5 linked regions of the Sus scrofa genome follow. The main gene of each other region encodes a partner of the protein of the gene in region 3 in a complex. Links are inferred from orthologs where the notes say so. Each region holds a gene or a part of one and is shown on either strand. Other genes may lie near its edges.

What was found.
Region 1: CNOT10 (region 3) and CNOT8 share a complex: the UniProt entries of both Homo sapiens proteins name them as parts of the CCR4-NOT complex. The link is inferred for Sus scrofa from reciprocal best matches to the Homo sapiens genes CNOT10 and CNOT8.
Region 2: CNOT10 (region 3) and CNOT2 share a complex: the UniProt entries of both Homo sapiens proteins name them as parts of the CCR4-NOT complex. The link is inferred for Sus scrofa from reciprocal best matches to the Homo sapiens genes CNOT10 and CNOT2.
Region 4: CNOT10 (region 3) and CNOT11 share a complex: the UniProt entries of both Homo sapiens proteins name them as parts of the CCR4-NOT complex. The link is inferred for Sus scrofa from reciprocal best matches to the Homo sapiens genes CNOT10 and CNOT11.
Region 5: CNOT10 (region 3) and CNOT7 share a complex: the UniProt entries of both Homo sapiens proteins name them as parts of the CCR4-NOT complex. The link is inferred for Sus scrofa from reciprocal best matches to the Homo sapiens genes CNOT10 and CNOT7.

Annotation. Positions count from the first base shown.
Region 1 is NC_010458.4:68,332,137-68,335,020, forward strand, and holds part of CNOT8 (CCR4-NOT transcription complex subunit 8), read right to left. Parts: intron 2,621-2,884; coding exon 2,459-2,620; intron 1,860-2,458; coding exon 1,715-1,859; intron 984-1,714; coding exon 873-983; intron 1-872. UniProt on the Homo sapiens protein: Has 3'-5' poly(A) exoribonuclease activity for synthetic poly(A) RNA substrate. Its function seems to be partially redundant with that of CNOT7.
Region 2 is NC_010447.5:34,469,412-34,473,718, reverse strand, and holds the start of CNOT2 (CCR4-NOT transcription complex subunit 2), read right to left. Parts: upstream 2,809-4,307; 5' UTR 2,714-2,808; coding exon 2,666-2,713; intron 1-2,665. UniProt on the Homo sapiens protein: Component of the CCR4-NOT complex which is one of the major cellular mRNA deadenylases and is linked to various cellular processes including bulk mRNA degradation, miRNA-mediated repression, translational repression during translational initiation and general transcription regulation.
Region 3 is NC_010455.5:18,695,939-18,699,454, reverse strand, and holds part of CNOT10 (CCR4-NOT transcription complex subunit 10), read right to left. Parts: intron 2,328-3,516; coding exon 2,206-2,327; intron 1-2,205. UniProt on the Homo sapiens protein: Component of the CCR4-NOT complex which is one of the major cellular mRNA deadenylases and is linked to various cellular processes including bulk mRNA degradation, miRNA-mediated repression, translational repression during translational initiation and general transcription regulation.
Region 4 is NC_010445.4:53,078,510-53,082,729, forward strand, and holds the start of CNOT11 (CCR4-NOT transcription complex subunit 11), read right to left. Parts: upstream 2,807-4,220; 5' UTR 2,734-2,806; coding exon 2,214-2,733; intron 1-2,213. UniProt on the Homo sapiens protein: Component of the CCR4-NOT complex which is one of the major cellular mRNA deadenylases and is linked to various cellular processes including bulk mRNA degradation, miRNA-mediated repression, translational repression during translational initiation and general transcription regulation.
Region 5 is NC_010459.5:4,940,080-4,943,595, forward strand, and holds part of CNOT7 (CCR4-NOT transcription complex subunit 7), read right to left. Parts: intron 2,955-3,516; coding exon 2,793-2,954; intron 1-2,792. UniProt on the Homo sapiens protein: Has 3'-5' poly(A) exoribonuclease activity for synthetic poly(A) RNA substrate. Its function seems to be partially redundant with that of CNOT8.

The sequences.
Region 1 (2,884 bases), on a different chromosome or scaffold from region 3:
AAAATATTAATTCTTCCAATCCATGGACCTGGAATATCTTTCCATTTATTTGTGTCTTCTTCAGTTTCTTTCATCACTGTCTTAGAGTTTTCAGTATGCAAGTCTTTCACCTCCTTGGTAAAATTTATTCCAAGGTTATTTTATTCTTTTTGACGCAACTATAAAATGGGACTGTTTTCATAATTTCTCATTCTGATAGTATGCCGTTCACCATTAGGATACAGAAACACAACAGATTTTTGTACATTAATTTTGTATTCTGCAATTTTACTGGATTCATTTATTAGTTCTAACAATTTTTTTGGTGGAGTTTTTAGGGTTTTCTATACATATTATTATGTCATCTGAAAAGAGTCATAGTTTTTCCTCCTTTCTGATTTGGATCCTTGTATTTCCTTTTTCTTTTCTTTCTTTTTTTTTTTTTTTGGCCTAACTGCTCCGGCTAAGAGCATGTTGAATAAAAAGTAGTGAGTGGGCATCCTTGTCTTGTTCCTGATCCTAAAGGAAAAGCTTTCAATTCTTCACCACTGAGTTTGAGATGTTAGCCGTGGGACATTTGATAATTAACAGAACTTTGCATAAAATAAGTGGGTGGTTTGACATGTGTTCATATTATAGAAATTGGAATAAAAGCAAATCACTGCAAGGATTAGAGCTGCTAGGAACAGCAAGTATACATCTAGCCTTGAGCGTATTGAGTAGCCTCCATTTCAAAATGCTTCTTTCCTCCCAAATCACACTTAAGGTACTGAACATATGCATAATGAACAAACCAAAAAAAAAAAAAATACTGCCTTCAAGGTAGTCATCAACTTCTATGAGAAACTATAAATTTTCAACAAACCTCAGCCCCCAAAGCCTCTCTGCCTCACCTCTTTCATCCTGAAGAATGCCATTCCCGTCAGCAGCGAGTCTGAGCCTGCCTGGTGCTGCCTCCCAATTCTCTGCAAATCCAACTGATCGGCAACTTCCTGAAGACCTCCCTGGAAATGTAAGGAAAACAAAGTTAGTGTCACAGTCTTGACTCCTCTACTGGAGTCAACTATGTCCACTCCTGACTTACTACATTTGGTGATGAGAAGTAGGAACAGGCCATTTACTTACCAGGCTTACCCCAGCAGTACCCCCCTTCTTAGCGCTCCAAAGGATACACTGTATTCTATTCCACTTTTCCCGTCTTTGTTTTCTATTTCTTTAATTTTGTTTCTATATCTATAATTTTGTCAGACCTCTGCCCCTGAAAATCCCCACTGCTACAAAACAAGGTCAAGGGAATAGTAAACGCCAGTCTAATTCTAGACAGCAAGCCTCTCATTAGGGAAGGGAGTTCTTAAATCATCTAGGGCTAAGAACCCTTCTGAGAGTCTGGTACACAGTAGACCCCATCCCTATGAATCATTGTTATATATACTTCATGTCGCTAAGGGTTTCACTAGGTTCATGGGCCCTTAGTGAAGAATGCCTGCCTTAGGGTGAGAGAAGCAGAGGGGTCCCTTCCTGCCCAGGTTAAAGACAGTTAACACACAAATCCCGGTGCCAGTCAGTCAGGGTGCCAATACACCCTTGTCTAGTACAGTGCTGGCACCTAGCATGTACTCAAGGACGCATGCTGAACAAACCACAATAAAGCAAAATTACACGTCTGCTTTTTTTGTCTTGTTGTTGTTGTTATTATTATTAAGAAATATATTGTGGGAAAAAAAATATCATGTACCTTAAGATTTTTGCAACTCTTCATCAGGTATTTCACATCATAAATGGATGGGAAGAAAAGGTTCAGAATATGAAAGAATTCATGTTCCTCTTCTGGCAGGCGAGAATCTGTAAGTAACTTTACCATGTAGCCAAAGTCATAGCCACTACAAGGAGAGAGTGAGGCAATGAGGTGAACGCAGCAGTCATCAGGCCCCAGGTTCAAATGCTTTATTGCTCGGTTTCCCATACGGCCTCATGTTAGGAACTTTACATTTTCCAAAGTAGCTTATCCTGTACTCTAAACGTTCCACTAAATAATAACATAACAGAGTAATGTGGACGACATATAAGAGAACTGAAGGGTTTATAAATGTGGGCTTTATTCATCAAAAATTCACAAGTACTGAAAGATAAAATAACCTCTCCTAAGGTTATTCCTAAGGGGAATCTGGTTTTTGAGTACCTAGGAAACTCGAGGCCAGCCATTTAAAAGACAAGAAAAAGACAACCAAATGCTTCCACCCTCCTCATCCTCCTTCTTTCCACTTGGCGTACATCCACTGTATAGGCATGTGGTAGAGCCTATTACTCAAACCAATATGAGCCCCAAAGTGTTTTTTGCAAAACTGAAATATGAGCAACCAATACCATTTCAACTTTATAACTGCTAGTGAGCAACAAAAGAGAGCCAAGAGGACTCCAAAAATAACATAACGCAATTCCCTGCTTCCAAAGCAAGAGAGAAACATCCTCGGAGACTGACCTGTGAAATGAAAGCCACTTGACGTTGTCACAGAGAACCACCCCTGATGTCATAAGCAGCTCTGCAAAGTGCAACGTGTCAATCCCTTCCTCTTCATGCTTCTGAAACTGGAGTCCTGAGTTAGCAAGGAGATCTATGGAATCCTGGGAGTACATGTCCTCTCTGAAAAAGAAGGTGTGCCTGTCTCAGCTGGTGGATAAGGTAACAGAAGTAGTGGGCAACATTACCATCACCTTATAAACTACAGAATAGGTATTCCCGAAATGTTTTCATAATTTAAGAATAAATCAGAGTTCCCATTATGGCTGAGCAGTAACAAACCTGACTAGTATCCATGAGGACGCATATTTGATCCCTGGCCTTGCTCAGTGGGTTAAGGATCCAGCACTGCTGTGAGCTGTGGTGTAGGTTGCAGATGTGGCCCGG
Region 2 (4,307 bases), on a different chromosome or scaffold from region 3:
TAAAAGCATGTGGCATAGGAATGTGGCAAGATTTTATATGTAATGTTTAGGAGCTAGTCTTTATTATGTAAGAGAGACAAAGACAACACTGATAAGTTATCTGGCAATTAATATGGTTAGATTTATGCATGCTCATAGCTGGAATAAATCAGTGTAAATGAGAGGAAGATAAGAAAATTCTAAACAAAAACTGATGTTACATTCCCTTGGCAGAAGCTTTACAATTCTTACAAAAAAGAATGAACTATAAACCATTCATATAATTAAATTAACTTGTCTGAACTATTTAGTTCAGACTAACATACCAGTCTATATACACAAATAAACTTCAACTACTCTACTCAAACGCAAAAAACTTAACTGGGCTTAAACGTACAGTAAGAAATAAAAAACATGAAATAGATAATGGTAGAAAAATTAATACTTTAACCAACATCCATTTGAAGTCACCAGCTCTTAGCAGGAAGCTGAGGGAATGCACCTTCCCAAATTAATTCTGAAGTCTTTAATCAGGTCCATAATGAAATAAGAACTGGAAAAATATTATTCTTATTAACTCCGGAATATTAGCCTATACTATCAGAATGTTTAAATATCACTATAAGACATCAAGCACCCTCCAAAAACAAAAGGCCTCAAACGTAAAATGAGTATACACGGATACAAAGAAATTCTACTTTATTCATGAGAAACAACAAAATTCCTCCAAAATGAAATCTTTAAAAACCCAAATCATTTCATCTCTGCATATACAAATCCTACTTCTAACAATATAAATATTAGAAATTTATCTAATATTCCTTTAAATTTCCCATATGCTGTTAATATGTTCATAATTATCAGACAGCAAATTATATTCCTATACATTCACTTTTCAGAGGAGGCTTTTAAAAATAAAATAATTTTACAATGGAAATTTAAAGAACAGTTTTCAGGAATATTTCAACATGCATAACTACATAACACAAAAAAGAAAAGGAAAAATATTTTCAGGTAGAAAAACCCTAACCAAGAATGAATGCATTTTCAGGTAAGCTCAAAAACACTTGGATTATTTATAAATAATGTGACTGAAATAGTGTGATTCCAAATAATTTTTTTAGAGTAGAATGAACAGAAATTAGGAAATCTCTTCATGTGTAAAATATCTCATTTTATTCCTTTCTAATGTGTAAAATTTGGAATTCTCTATTATTAGATTCTGTAGTCAATTAACCATACCATATGATCATAAAAAAGTTCTATACTTACATTTTATTAACTGGATTATAAACACTTAAAAGCCACATAATGCACAATCACAATTTCTTAAAGTAATTTAGCAGATTCTATCAAAAGACATAATAGCCCAAGCAGTGTAACCAATTAAAATCTTATGAGTCAAGGTAGATGGAAGCGGTTTTGAGGCAGGAGCTACAAGTAATGAGCAAAGGCCACGTCACTTGAGCCAATAAAAACAACTCAGAACAGAAAAGGTTACAGAGAGAACTGATTCTATATAGTCATAGCTTACTCTGATTTATTAAAATTATAAAAATCTGGTGAGAAACTTCAGACATCAAATTAGGTCAAATTCTACAAAGGTTAAATATGACAGTATTTTGTATTAGGACAGAGCCCAAACCAGAACCTAAGTATTATGCTCAAAGGTTCTTTACTATTTCACCATTTACAATTTTCTTCACTGTTCACTCTTCCAATCTGAGGGAAGAAAAGACTAATTGTGCCAAAATAAATAATTAAAAGACAAATGGTTAGTTAACAAAAGCATCTACTATCAGACTAGTTGCCTTCACAGCCTAGAGGGAATAAAACTGGTAAGTGGAAGAGGGAGAGGTTAGATAGGTACCTGTGCAGGAAGTCTGAAGCTTACCCCTACTTGAGCTATGAACTATTCTGTATTCTGAATCACTACATAATTTGATATTAAATTATTGTCAAATGAATAAAGCCAAATGTCTTTGAAAAAACTAAATTCAAATATTATGGGTTTTGAAATCACTATTTAATAGCACTATCTTTAAAATTCACCTTCTTTTATAAGCTGAGAAAGAAACAAAAATATTACACTTCAACCATCGTATTAGCATCCTTACATACTTCATAGGGAATGGATTTATAAACTAACTTAATAAATGAGAAATTATGAGAACAGCAAGCCAATGACAATTCAATAGAATCTGGGTCTCTGAACACCCTGAATTTTCATTTCTATTTCTTCTAAATGCTAACCAATTTTGTCTACATTTCTGTAACGCTCTAGTACCCTCAATATAATCTAAGACTTCAGTTTTAGTCTTCCAGGAATCATACGTGTAAAAGCAATCAATATTTTATTTTATGAAATACTAGGTCTGAATCCAGCCACAAAGTCAAAAATTGTGCATCAGATAATCTAAGTTTTGACATATATACACACACAGGAGAAAATTTATGTTCTGACACTAAAAGAATACACATTTCTTATAAGTATGCTTTATTATGAAAAATGTTCCAAACTATTTCAACTATTAAGCCATATATATACATATATCATTTAAAAAATTATAACCCACATTTTTCAGGTTGAGGTCTATCCAATCTGCTGGTTCCTAAATACAACATATTAAACAGTTCAATGTAATTACGTGACCAACAGAAGAAAGCAAAATAAAATTGATCTTACCTGGTAGTTTCTTTTCTCAGATAATGTATGTCCATCAGTCCTCACCATAGAGTCGTGTCCTTTCCTCACAGTACTGGAGGCAATCAAATAGAACTGTCACTCAAGGGTCGTGTCACAGGAAGGACCGCCCACCAGTTCTCCCTCTAGAGTGGAATTATCCAAAAGCCATCAAAATTACTAACATGTAAAATATATGAACAGTACCAAAAATACCAATATGATACAAAGAAAACAAAACCAAAACTTTTTTTTTTTAATGTCCTAACTGATCTTCCTCTTAACCATCAAAGAAGGGCTAGACTGCCAGACATACTTTGTTTGACACAGAAATTATTAAGCATGAAAAACTTTTCCCTCCCACTTCTACTCTCTCCTATTAAAACTGTTCGCCACATACCTCACACATAGGAAGAAACTTATAGTGAATAAAAATGGAGTGGACAAAAAAGTTAAGCCCTTAATCGACATTACCTTTTTTAAATAAACAATTTGTTAGTATTAGAAATACCCAATTAATTCAGATTCAGTCATTTAATTTCAAATCCCCCTTCATTCAGTTTATGGAGTTTATTCTTATGCCATAAGATGGGAATACATCATATAATCTTAGGATGATTAACAGGTGCAAACCTAAGTCAATATTCTATTAAAATTTACTCCAATGAAGAGTAATAACAACTGTCAACTTTCTAGATTCCTAGGTCCTTCAATTCTCCAATTTTTTGCATGCTTTAATAGAGTTTTCTTTTTTACATTAGGGCAGAAACATAATGAAGCTTATTTCTTAACCTGGTCAGAGAAATAAATCCAAAATGACTAGGCACTGTATTCCTCAGGCATCAAAAGATCACCGAAACAGAGGTAATAGTTGCTAGAGATGCTAACTCAAAAATATAAACTGAAAATGAAAGATCAAAAATTCAAAAGTGGTACCTACAAAAAATTTCTAAATATTTTCAAGACAAATGTCACTCTCCTAACTTTTAGTAAAATGTTTACCCGAATGAAGGAGTATATAGTATATACACCTAGTGAATTAACAATAGTTGCTAACTCCTAAAAATTATAATCGAATTTAGAGCAATTATTTAACATCAGACAAAATTCACTTTGGGAGAGGAAAATAAAAACATCTAATTTAAATTCATAAGAAGTGCAAATCATTTTTATTAAGATCAACACACAAATACATATACAAATATATTACCTCTAAAAAGCAATCTAGTAAGAAGGCAAAAAATTTTTCAAGGAAAACAAAACTTTAAAAATTAGTGTTATTAGATTTAAGTTTTTAAAAGAATTAATGTAATAAGGAGTTCCCACTAAGGAACAGTGGGTTAAAGGATCTGGCACTGACGCAGCTGTGACTTGGATTCACTCTCCTGGCCCAAGGACCTCCATGTGCAGTCACTAAAAAAAATATCATGTAATGAAAACCTACACTCCACCTCTTGTTTTATGTTTCACCACAAACAGTGGGTACTATCTACTTTTACTTCATCTGACCATCTTACGCTGTATATGATTGGCTGAAATTCTTCAAAGATGCCAGTCTCTATGGCAAAAATGTAATTGTGTATTACCAAATTTATATGTACTATTGCAATTAGATGTCTCTCTCAAAAGTAACAAGGGAGAATGG
Region 3 (3,516 bases):
AAAAAAAAAAAAAAGAATCTGATTGCAGAGGCTTGGACTGCTGTGGAGGCTTGGGTTCAACCCCTGGCTCAATGCAGTGGGTTGTAGCTGCAGCTTGAATTCAACCCCTCGCCTGGGAAAATCCATGTGCAGCAGGTGCGATCATGAAAAAATAATAATGAAAAAATTGAAATATTGCAAGAATGACCAGTGAGTGACACAGAACCCAAAGTTAGCAATTGCTGTCAGTAAAATGGCACCAACAGACGTGCTCTACTCAGGGCTGCCACAAAAACCTTCAGTTTGTAAAAAGAAAAACAAGAAAACCAAAAATGCAACATCTGCAAAGTGCAATAAAAGGAGGTTTGTCTGTATATAAGATGCAAAAAGTATAAATAAAATTTCAAGTATATACATTACACACCACACTGTGTCTAAAGGAACAGGACCAAGGCTAGGAGACAACCTGAAGGAAATCTGCAATGTCAGTGTCAATCTAAAAAAGGATTTAGAGACAAGGAAAACTGAATGAAGGCCAGGACAGGTACAATAAGAACCGGAAAGAAAGGAAGAAAGTAGATTTTTTACATTTGAGCCTTGTTTTGGTTGATACTTGCTTTTGAAAATGCCTCATTTACACGTTTTGAAAAAGCAGTGTTATATCTTATTACTTTGTTGAGATTTTATATAACTTTCTATTGGTTTTATATAATAAACTGAGCCAGCTTTACTAGAAGGAAGAAAAGTGAAAAGTAGTAACAGTTTTGAAATTGTAGGAAACCAATGCTTTAACTTGTCTTTCAAAAGAAATCTGAGAGTTCCTGTTGTGGATACCTGACTAGTATCCACAAGTATGTGGGTTTGATCCCTGGCTTTGCTCAGTGGGTTAAGGATCCTGTGTTGCCACAGGCTTCGGAATAGGTCCAAGATACAGCTGGGATCCTGAGTTGCTGTGGCTGTGTTGTAGGCTCCCAACTGAGGCTCAGATTTGACCCCTAGCTCCAGGAACTTCCATGTGCCAAACATGTGACTATAAAAGAAAGAAAAAGAAAAGAAAGAAAGAAATCTTCATTATTGTTGAAATAAATTAAGAGCAAAATGTTGTATGCCACATACTTTTAAAAACTTTTGGGAAAAACTTTTAAATGGTAGTGAACAATTTTATTTTTTGGAAAAGAAAAAAAAGGAGTGACTTTTTTTTTTTTTGACAAAGCCTACTACTTTAGAATTAATAGCAACCCCAAATTGGAATCTTTTTAGAAGGATGCTCACATTTAAAAGTTATTCAACTGAAAAGTTGTTCTACATGTGAAAACCTTATATTATTTTTGTGGATATATGTGTTAATTAGCTTTAGGGACTATGAGAAAATAAATGAGAAGTACCAATGACAAACTATATAAAAAGGAAACATCAAGACGCCCTCTTCTGGACATTCTGAATAATAGCACTGAACAGACTCGGCATCAACAATGTCAGCACCCAAGGACATAACAAACCAAAACCATATGTCAAATAACATTCACTACAGACCTATGTATACAGGTCTACTTCTTTTTTTAATCTTTTTAGGCTGCACCTGTGGCATATGGAGGTTCGAACTGGAGTCGAATTGGCGGTGTAGCCGCTGGCCTACACCACAGCCGCAGCAATGCAGGATCCAAGCCTTGTCTGTGACCTATGCCACAGCTCATGAATGCCAGATCCTTAACCCACTGAGTAAGGCCAGGGATTGAACCTGTGCCCTCATGGATACTAGTCAGATTCATTTCTGCTGAGCCATGATGGGAACTCCCAGAGGTCTATTTTTTGTTTGGGTTTTTTTTTGGGGGGAGGGGGGTTGGTCCGTTTAGGGCTGCACCTGCAGCATATGGAGGTTCCCAGGCTAGGGATCTAATCAAAGCTATAGCTGCCAGCCTATGCCAGAGCCACAGCAATGCCAAATCAGAGCCGTGTCTGCGACCTACACCACAGCTCATGGCAATGCCGGATCTTTAACCCACTGACCGAGGCCAGGGATTGAACCCGCAACCTCATGGTTCCTAGTCGGATTCGTTTCCACTGTGCCATGACAGGAATTCCGTAAAGGTCTATTTCTTGAAGTAGCAATAAAACCTAGCTACAAAGTGGCTTGTCCAATGAAATAATTCCTGAGCATATTTTAATAAATAACATTATTATGAAATAGCAGTAAATATATATACTTTCTCTTGGCAAAATACTTACTTATATACAGTATTTTGTATGGACTGTGATGCCAGAACTATTTTACGATGATAGCCTTGACCAACAATAGACTGCACAATTCCTTTTTTACTCGGAAGACCTTTAGTTTCTTGTTCAGAAGTCTACAAAATACAAGTAAGTTCCAATAAAGTTAATGAAAGTGTAAAATGGGATATGATAAATAACCCAGCACTTTCCACAATTACTCTAAGAAAGTTCTTAAGATCCATCAATGTGAAGTTTGGGGTGATAAAGGAAATATGTTTGGTGGTGAAGAGTACACGGGGCTGAATATCTGTGATCTATGCTGTATTTTATTCACACAGGGTTTGAGGTAATTCTGAGGAAAAAAAGCAATTCAAGAATGACTCAAGAGAAAGGCCCCTTACCAACTTCAGCAACAAGGGGGGAAGACATCAGAAGTAAGAGAGGCGACAACACTTCTGTCTGTACAAAAGAGACCACACCAAAAACCTATAAAAATGAAAAGGCAGAGAACTATAACTCAGATAAGGGAGCAAGGGAAAAAAAAAAAAACCCAGAAAAACAGCAAAGTGATCTGGAGATTCTCAGCCGCCTGGAAAAAGACTTTAAACTGTTGATGCTGAAGATGATGCAAGATATTGGAAATAAACTAGAGGCAAAGAATGTTAATTTACAGCAAACAGTGACCAAACAAATACAAGATTTAAAACTTAAGTAAGCAGAGATGCAAAATACAATAACTAAAATAAAAAATTCATTAGAAGCCACCAACAGCAGAATACAGGAGGCAGAAGATGAATAAGTGAGGTGGAGGACAGACTAGTGGAAATCACTGATGTGGAACAGAAAAGAGGAAAATGAAAAGAAATGAAGATAGTCTAAGAGAATTCTGGGACAATGTTAAATGCATCAACATCCATAGTATAGAGGTGCCAGAAGGAGAAGAGAGAGAGAAAGGGACAAAATATTCAAAGAGATAATAGCTGAAAATTTCCCTAGCATGGGAAAGGAACCACTCACTCAAATCCAGGAAGCCCAGAGTACCATATAAAATAAACACATGGAGGAACACCCTGAGACACATATTAATCAAACTGACCAAAATTAAAGATGAAGAAAATATTGAAACCAGCTAGGGGAAAAAAAACAAATAATACACAAAGGAATGCCGATAAGGTTATCAGATTTTTCAGAAGAAACTCTGCAGACCCAGAAGGGAGTGGCACAATACACTTAATATGAGGAAAGGAAAAACCTCCAACCAAGATTACTTTATCCAAAAAGGCTCTCATTCAGATTAGAGGGAGAAATCAAAAGCTTTACAGA
Region 4 (4,220 bases), on a different chromosome or scaffold from region 3:
AATACTTCTCTGCTGCTACTAGCAACTGCATTAAAGCTGGAAAGATGAGGAAGCATCACAAGTTCCAAAGACACTACTCCACACACCTGCTTCTACACACAGCTCGGCTACAATTCCCACAGCGCCAAGCCCAGCGGCCCTCCCTTGCCACAGTCACCTGCTCACCGGGCCTCATCCGTCTGTCCTCCCTCCCTCTCAGGCAGAGGGGTGGCCAGACTATTCACCACCCACAGTCCACACCCCCACTTACCATTTGGTTATATTTCTAGGTACAAATCTGCTCACAATACTTAACCTATTTACAGAGAATTAAACTCAAACGTTGGCACCAGTGTAGGACTTTCGTAATCTGGTCCCAACCCACTTTCCTCATCTCATCTCCTGAACTTCTCTCCATCTGTGAGTTCCACGATTCAGGTGCACAAAATCTTTCAGCTTCCCTGATTCCTATTTCAAAACACCCAATACACCCAACTCCTTAAAAATACCTGAGAGGACCACGTGCTTCTCTCCCCACCATCAATATCCAGCAAAAACATCGCTCCCTCGTAAAGCCTCTCCAGCTGCACAGACACGAGCTCCTGGGCCTTGAGGCCCTGTGGGTGAGACATCTGGTACAGCCTTAACCACATGGGGCTACAGTTATGTCTGGTCTCAACCTGACAGAGTGCAAGGAAGCCATCCTACTTACTTCCAGGTACATTCTCAACCTTGGCTCTGCATCAGAATCATCTGAAAAACTTTCAAAACATATACTCATTAGGTGCTCCCCCTGAGGTGAAATATAATAAGCCTGCAGCAGCAGTCCCCCTGTTGGGTATTTAAGCACCATCCCTACCTAGTAATGATAATAATGGACAACACTTACCGCAGATACCCTTACCCCTCATACTAACTCTACCAGCTAAGAATTATCTGCAATTTACGGATGAGGAAAATGAGGCACAGCAGCAAAATAACCAATCCCATGAATTCCTTCCCTGGCAGATTTGTGTTTACAACACAGTCTACGGCCTAGATCTAGGTTTGGAATCATCACAATTGAGAATGACGGTTACGGTTCCTTGGCTTGACCCCAGACTACAGAATTCAAAGCGCCCAACCCAAATCCCAAACTGTCCCCCATCCATCTTGGGTGGTGGGTTTGACGAATACACACATTAAAACCACTTTCTGGGCATTCTTAAACTCCCTGAAAGTCAGGTTTAGTACCATTCCCCACCCCACCCCACAGACACCTCAAGGAATACAAAGGTTACTCCTCTTAGGTCAAGGGCAGTGCAGGAAACCAACCAGAAGATGCTTAAGATCCAGAGGAGTGGGCAGCGGGAAAAACGACCATCTTAAAATGTGGAAGCCCTCACCTGCAAGGAAATCCTCTGGTATTTACTCAAAACCGGCTGCCTTTACCTCTTGGCTCCCTATATAGCAGCCCCCTACCTAAGGAGTGATCTGCCTGTCTTACCACCGCTGAAGGACCCTACCATCAAGCTGCTTCCCACCTCTCTACCTGCCTCACCCCCTACACTGGTCCTTGACTAAGTCTTCCAGGTACCCTCACCACCATCTCTTCTGGGCCTTTCCCCTCGCCCGGTTTAGGTCTTCTCCCAAATTCAAGTCTCATAAAGCATCTCTGGAGTTTTTTTTTTTTTTTTAAAAAGGCAGCCTCCTATCAAACCCACCGATCTTCACGGAAGTTGACCGAGCATAACTTTCACATCATGTCCAACAGCCTTGGGTTTTCTAACCTAGGCCGTGAATTTGAGACTTTCTCTCCTCCGCCCCCATCGCATTACCCAAAGACCTAACAGCAAGAAGAAGGTGGCTGTGATGTCCTTAAACGCTGTTAAATGTGTTTCCGCTCAACTTCCTCAGGTTCTGAATGACTCCTAATTGACTCGTCTGAGACTAAAAGCCGGGGGCAGATCCAGTGTGTCATTACTTACAACTTCACACACCTCCGACGGGCTTGACGAGAACAAATTTTATCTGAGGCGCTAAACCATCAAGCCCCATATTACGCTGCGTGATTGGACCACCTGCATTGTTGGGAGGGATAATTTTCGGCGCCATGAAGCTGTTACTTCTTCATACTTGGTGGAAGGGGTGGGGGGTAGGGAATCTCAAAAGGCAACAATCAGTTTCAAGTGCGGGTGAAGGCCGAGAAGCTGCCAATCTCACCCTCGGCGACGCACACCTGGCCCCGGGCGTACCTGAGAGCGGCGGCCGGTCGGGTTCCTGGCCGCCGCGGGCGGGCGGCGCGGGGTTGAGCAGATGCGCGAAGCTGGCGGCGAAGGGGTTGGCGGCGAGCGGTTCGGTGCGGTACATCTCCCAGAGCAAATAGAGCGCCGTGAGGCGCTGCGCCGCGCTGGGCAGCAGGTCTGGCTGCTGCAGCAGCATGACCAGCACCGAGCCCAGGCGGAAGTGGTCGGCCTTGCTGAAGTAGTGGTGGAATGCGGTAGACAGGCCCTCGAAGGTGCTGCCGCCGCCCGCCTCCTCCGAGATAATGCTCAGCAGGCTCGAGAGTTCCTTCGGGGTCAGGCTCATCCTGCCCGCAGGGCCCCCCGGGCCTCCACTCCCCGGCCCGGGGACGCCCGCTCCGCCTCTGCCGCTGCCGGAGCCGGAGACCCCCGGGCCGCACCTGGACGCCGACCCCGCCCCTTCCCGGGTCCCTCTTTGCTCTGCGGCGGTGAAAAGCCGGCCAGACGCCGCGCTCGCCCCGCCGCCGGGCATCAACCTCACCCGCCCGCCCTGCTCCCCGGCCAGAGTGGCCCTGGCGCCGGCTCGCTCCGTCCCTGCGGCCGTAAAGCGCGCTGTTGCACGACAGCGTCGCAAACAAAACACACCGAGAAACCAGCCGGCCGCGGAAAGGGCAGCGCGGAGCCAGAGCGAGGCTGCTGGTGCCGGGCCAGGGAGAAGATCCCCAGACGCTGGGTGGGCGGGGCAAAGCGCCGGAAATGGGGGCGGGGCCTGAGGGAGGGGCCCGGCCGGGTCTCGCGCTGTGGGAGTCAAGCGGTGCCATAGCCCCCCCGCTGCGGCATAGTCTGCCTGTCCTCCTTCAAGAGTTCAGCCCCCAGGACCCCCCTGGGCAGTGCGGGAACGAACGGTCTCAATAAAGGACGGTGTTATTTGTTTGGAAAAATGCATGTTAGAATATGAAATCTTTTTTAATATAACACACATGGATGGTCATGCTAAAACTTTAAGTGCAGATAAGGATAACATGTTTCTCATAAGCAAAGTTAATTTTTAGACTTACACTCCTTTTTAAAGAAATGGAATCATACTGCACATGTACATGGCTATTTTAACAAGATCTCTGGAAACTTAACAATAAACATTTATATACAAAATTGTTGTGCAACTTTTTCTTTGGCTGCGCTGTGGCAAACAAAAATTCCCAAGCCAGGAACCAAACCTACTCCACGCCTGATCCTTAACCCACTGCACCGCGAGGGAACTCCTGCTTTGCAACTTCTTACCTAGTCTGCCCTAGGTCGCTCATTCTGGGCCTTAGCTGTGCACTGGAAGTTTCCAGGAATCCTTTACAAATCCTGGCCCTAATGGCCAGGTATGAACAAACAAAAAGCAAAAACAGAGGTCCTGTCCTGGCTCAGGGGAAACGAATCTGACTAGCATCCATTAGGATGCTGGTTCAATCCCTGGCCTCGATCCTTAATCCCTGGGTTAAGGATCCAGGGTTGCCGTGAGCTGTGGTGTAGGTCACAAATGTGGCTCGGATCTGATGTTGCTGTGGCCGTGGCATAGGCCAGCAGCTACAGCTCGGATTCGACCCCTAGCCTGGGAACCTACATACGCCACAGGTGCAGCCCTAGTAAAATTTTTAAAAAGCAAAAACATCTGCCCAGGTGACTAGTGTGCACTCCAGGCTGGGACCCACCAAGTGGCTGGTCCCAGACTTGCAAGGTTCCTCCCTAGACCTACAAAACCCTACAAGGATTTCAACTAGCAATTCCCACCAGGCCAGTTGCAGAAATCCAGTCTATGCTGAAAAAAATGATAGCAGCTCAGTGTTGTGGCGCAGCGGAAACAAATTCTACTAGGAACCATGAGGTTGCGTATTCCATCCCTGGCTTCCCTCAGGGGTTAAGGATCCAGTGTTTCTGTGAGCTGTGGTGTAGGTCACAGACGAAGTTCAGCTCCCACGTTGCTGTGGCTGTGGCTGTGGCTGTGGTGTAGGCCAGCAGCTGCAGCTCTGA
Region 5 (3,516 bases), on a different chromosome or scaffold from region 3:
CAAACTACCATTCTGTAATCCTTAAATAGAGAACTTTCTAAGGGGTATCAAGCTGTCCACAGCAAACATCTGAAAAATTAAAGATGAATGGAAACTTGGAAAAAAGCCAAAAGATAGAGAATTGGCATTTAGAAGGCAAAAATTAATGCATATCCTCCCATTTTTTATATAAAGAGGTCACATACTTCAAAAATCCAGAGTGTAATTCTTAACAAAGTATTTTCACTTCCCTTAAGTGATTTTATTAATAAGTACTCTCTTCACTCAAAATTCTGTTCCTATCTCAATCCCCAAGAGATAGGAATGCTGCTCATGAAAGAAGGAAGGTAGCAAAAGCTGAGAACTACTAACTAGAGAATAAAAAACTCCCCACTCTCAAGATCTCCTCTTCCTGTTGTTTAGCTTTCGCCACAGGTTTATATCGCCCCACATTTCCCCCACAATCGCACCTCCTTCTCCCTGTCTACCTTTAAGGACCTCTATCCGAAGCCTTCCCTAAAGAGCTCAGCTCCCACAGAGTTCTCAGACAAGTTCTTTTTTATCACCCTTTAAAGCGTAGGTATTGTTTTCTCCATGCGTTTAAAGGGAGGTATCACATCTTAAAAAAACTTTCCATTTAGTTAGGACTCAAATATTTGATGACAGATGCTACTAAGATATCTTTTAAAGGAAGATTACAAATAAATTTCTATTCAAGGTTTAGAATTATACTTCTTAACACGGAGAAAAACAAATTTTTAATACTGAAGACCATTAAGGAATATCAAGGTATAAACAAACGCTAGAAACCTTTAAATTTCTGGCAGTTGACAAGAAAGTAACTTCTTTATCTACCTAAAATACAAGTCAATATATTGCTTACTACTAGGTAAAAACAAGTTGTTTTAGAATTTAGTATTTATAAATTTCTTAAGTCCTTATCTACTAGAAATAAGACTATGAAGAAAATATTTAATGACATTTAGGAGAATGAAATCTTACATATCTTGACAATACTCAAATAGTCAAACCTAGATTCAAGACATGACCCCTGTTTTTGTTCATCTTTTATAAAAAAATTGAAAAATTTTTTTTTGGCCATGACAGGCATCCTTAAGTGGAATCTCAGTTCCCAGACCAGGGATTGAACCCAGGCTGCTGAATCCAACCATTAGACCACCAGGGAACTCCCTGTTTTTATTCATCTTAATATTCCAATGCCTAAAACAAAGTAATGCCTCAGACTATTTTTTGAATGAAAGAACTATCATACATAGTTAAAAAGAGGACAATGCTTTCCAGTTCTTTTGCATCTTCAAGACTAGGGAAGTGAAAAAAGAACTCAAAAAACATCCCTCAAATTACCAGAGACTTAAGCCTCATTTCCTGAGGTACAGACTCAAGTGAAGGAAAACAGAGAAAAAAAGATAGGTGGATATGAGTAAGTTCAATACTCCAGCTCAAAAATGACTGCTTAGTACTACGCTGAGGTTGACGGTATGAACAGTCCTTCACTAGTCTTTTATTACTGAGGCCAGTGCTGGAAATACACAGCATGCAGAAACTTTTTTTTTTTTAAATGCTAAAGTAGACCAAGTGTGAGAATATTAATACCTGCATAATTCAATGCATTTTAAAAACATAACAAAAGGCCAAATAAAATCATTCCCGAAGCACTTTTAGTCCCTGAGTTGCCAGTTTAATGTAGTTTACTTAGATAGGAAAACTCTTTCTCTTAGCTAAAAGTCTGTTTATACAAAATAGAATTTCCTTTCCAGAAATTCTCAACAACCTAATTGTATGATAAGAATTAAAAACTACCATTTATTGAGAATTTACTGTGTGTAGAGCACTTTACTAGATGCTTTAAATATGTCACTACTGATCATTAAAACAATTTAAGCTAATTCTAAGTATTTCTTCCTAATATCCTATTTAAAAAAATTAAAATCCACCACACACACCTCTAGCTTTCTCTTTATCAATTTTTTTCCATAGCATTTACCACCACCTAACAAACTAAAATATACGTTCATCATTTAAAAAACTTGTCTGTCTACTCCCACCAGAATGTGAACTCCATGAAATCAAAATTTTAGTCTATTTTGTTCATAGCTTAATTCCTAGAATATTATCATAGTGCTTGGCATATGAAGGATAACAAATAAATACTTTTAAAATGAATAAATGTTTCCATTCTAAGGCTTAGAAATGTTAAATAACCCTAGGTAACACAGATTCCAAATGGCACTGCTGGATGGAGGGATGGATCGATCGACTGATTTTGGACCCAGGCCCTCACCTCACCAAAAAATATATATTTTTCCACATACCAGTGGTATATGGTAGTTCCAAGGCTAGGGGTCAAATCGGAGCTGCAGCTGCTGGCCTACACCACAGTCACAGCCACTTGGGATCTGAGCCACATCTGCGACCTACACCACAGCTCACGGAAATGCTGGATCCTTAACCCACTGAGCAAGGCTTGGGATTGAACTGGCATCCTCATGAATACTACTTGGGCTCATTACTGCTGAGCCACGAAGGGAACTCTGGGATTGCTGAACTTAAACCAGGTCTACTTTTCCAGCCTGCCCTCTTTCGACTATGCAATACTATCTCTTTGACAGCCTAAAATGGATCCCATATCATTAAATTAACTTTTCAATTAGCTTGGAGAGTTAAGAGACTGCTATATGGCAGCCAATACTTTGTAGAACTAAGCCTGAAATTGCTGACAGAGTGACCCAAACCAAGTGTGAAGCAATCAGGAAATGGTAACACAAATGCCACTTTCAAGGCAATCTTTTTACCTATGAAATGATAACCATTTGACCCCTTCACAGAGGACTACTCCTGAAGTCATAAGAAGTTCTGCAAAGTACTGGGTTTCAATTCCTTCCTCCTCATGTTTTTTAAACTGGATACCAGATGTTGTCAGTAGCTCTATAGAGTCTTGGGCATACATGTCCTCCCTGGCAGGAGAAAAAGAAAGACAACATTCAAAAGTGTCATACTTCAAACTGATTTTCTCCCATTTACATCTAAAACTGTAATGTCAGTAACGAGAGAGAAGATTGGCGTTTAATTCCAAAGCTTTGCATATATGGAGTGAAAATACAATTTAAATATAATGGTCATTAAGTATTGTGGAAAAATGTTCATACAGTAAATAATAATCATTCAGAACAATCCAATGGTAAGATTTTAATCTATACTATCAATTTCATTAGCGGTTCACAAGTTAAATAAATTTAACTGGGTTTGGGGAAAAAAAGTGTCTTCTACTCACCAGCCATTACCACCACAAAGTAACAGACACATTCCTATCAGGGGTTTTTGGTCTCAGCAGCCACTTTAATGCTGCCAAATGGAGCCGCAGCCACAGGGGTGAGGGCCTGGGTCCAACTCCCAGGCTCTCAGCAGTACCAGGAAGAAGACCAAATGCGAAGCATCTGATGTGACTGAGTGAAACTACATTCTATCTTAAATAAAAAGGAGATGCCTCCTCTAACGATGAGCCTTTCAAATGGCCCC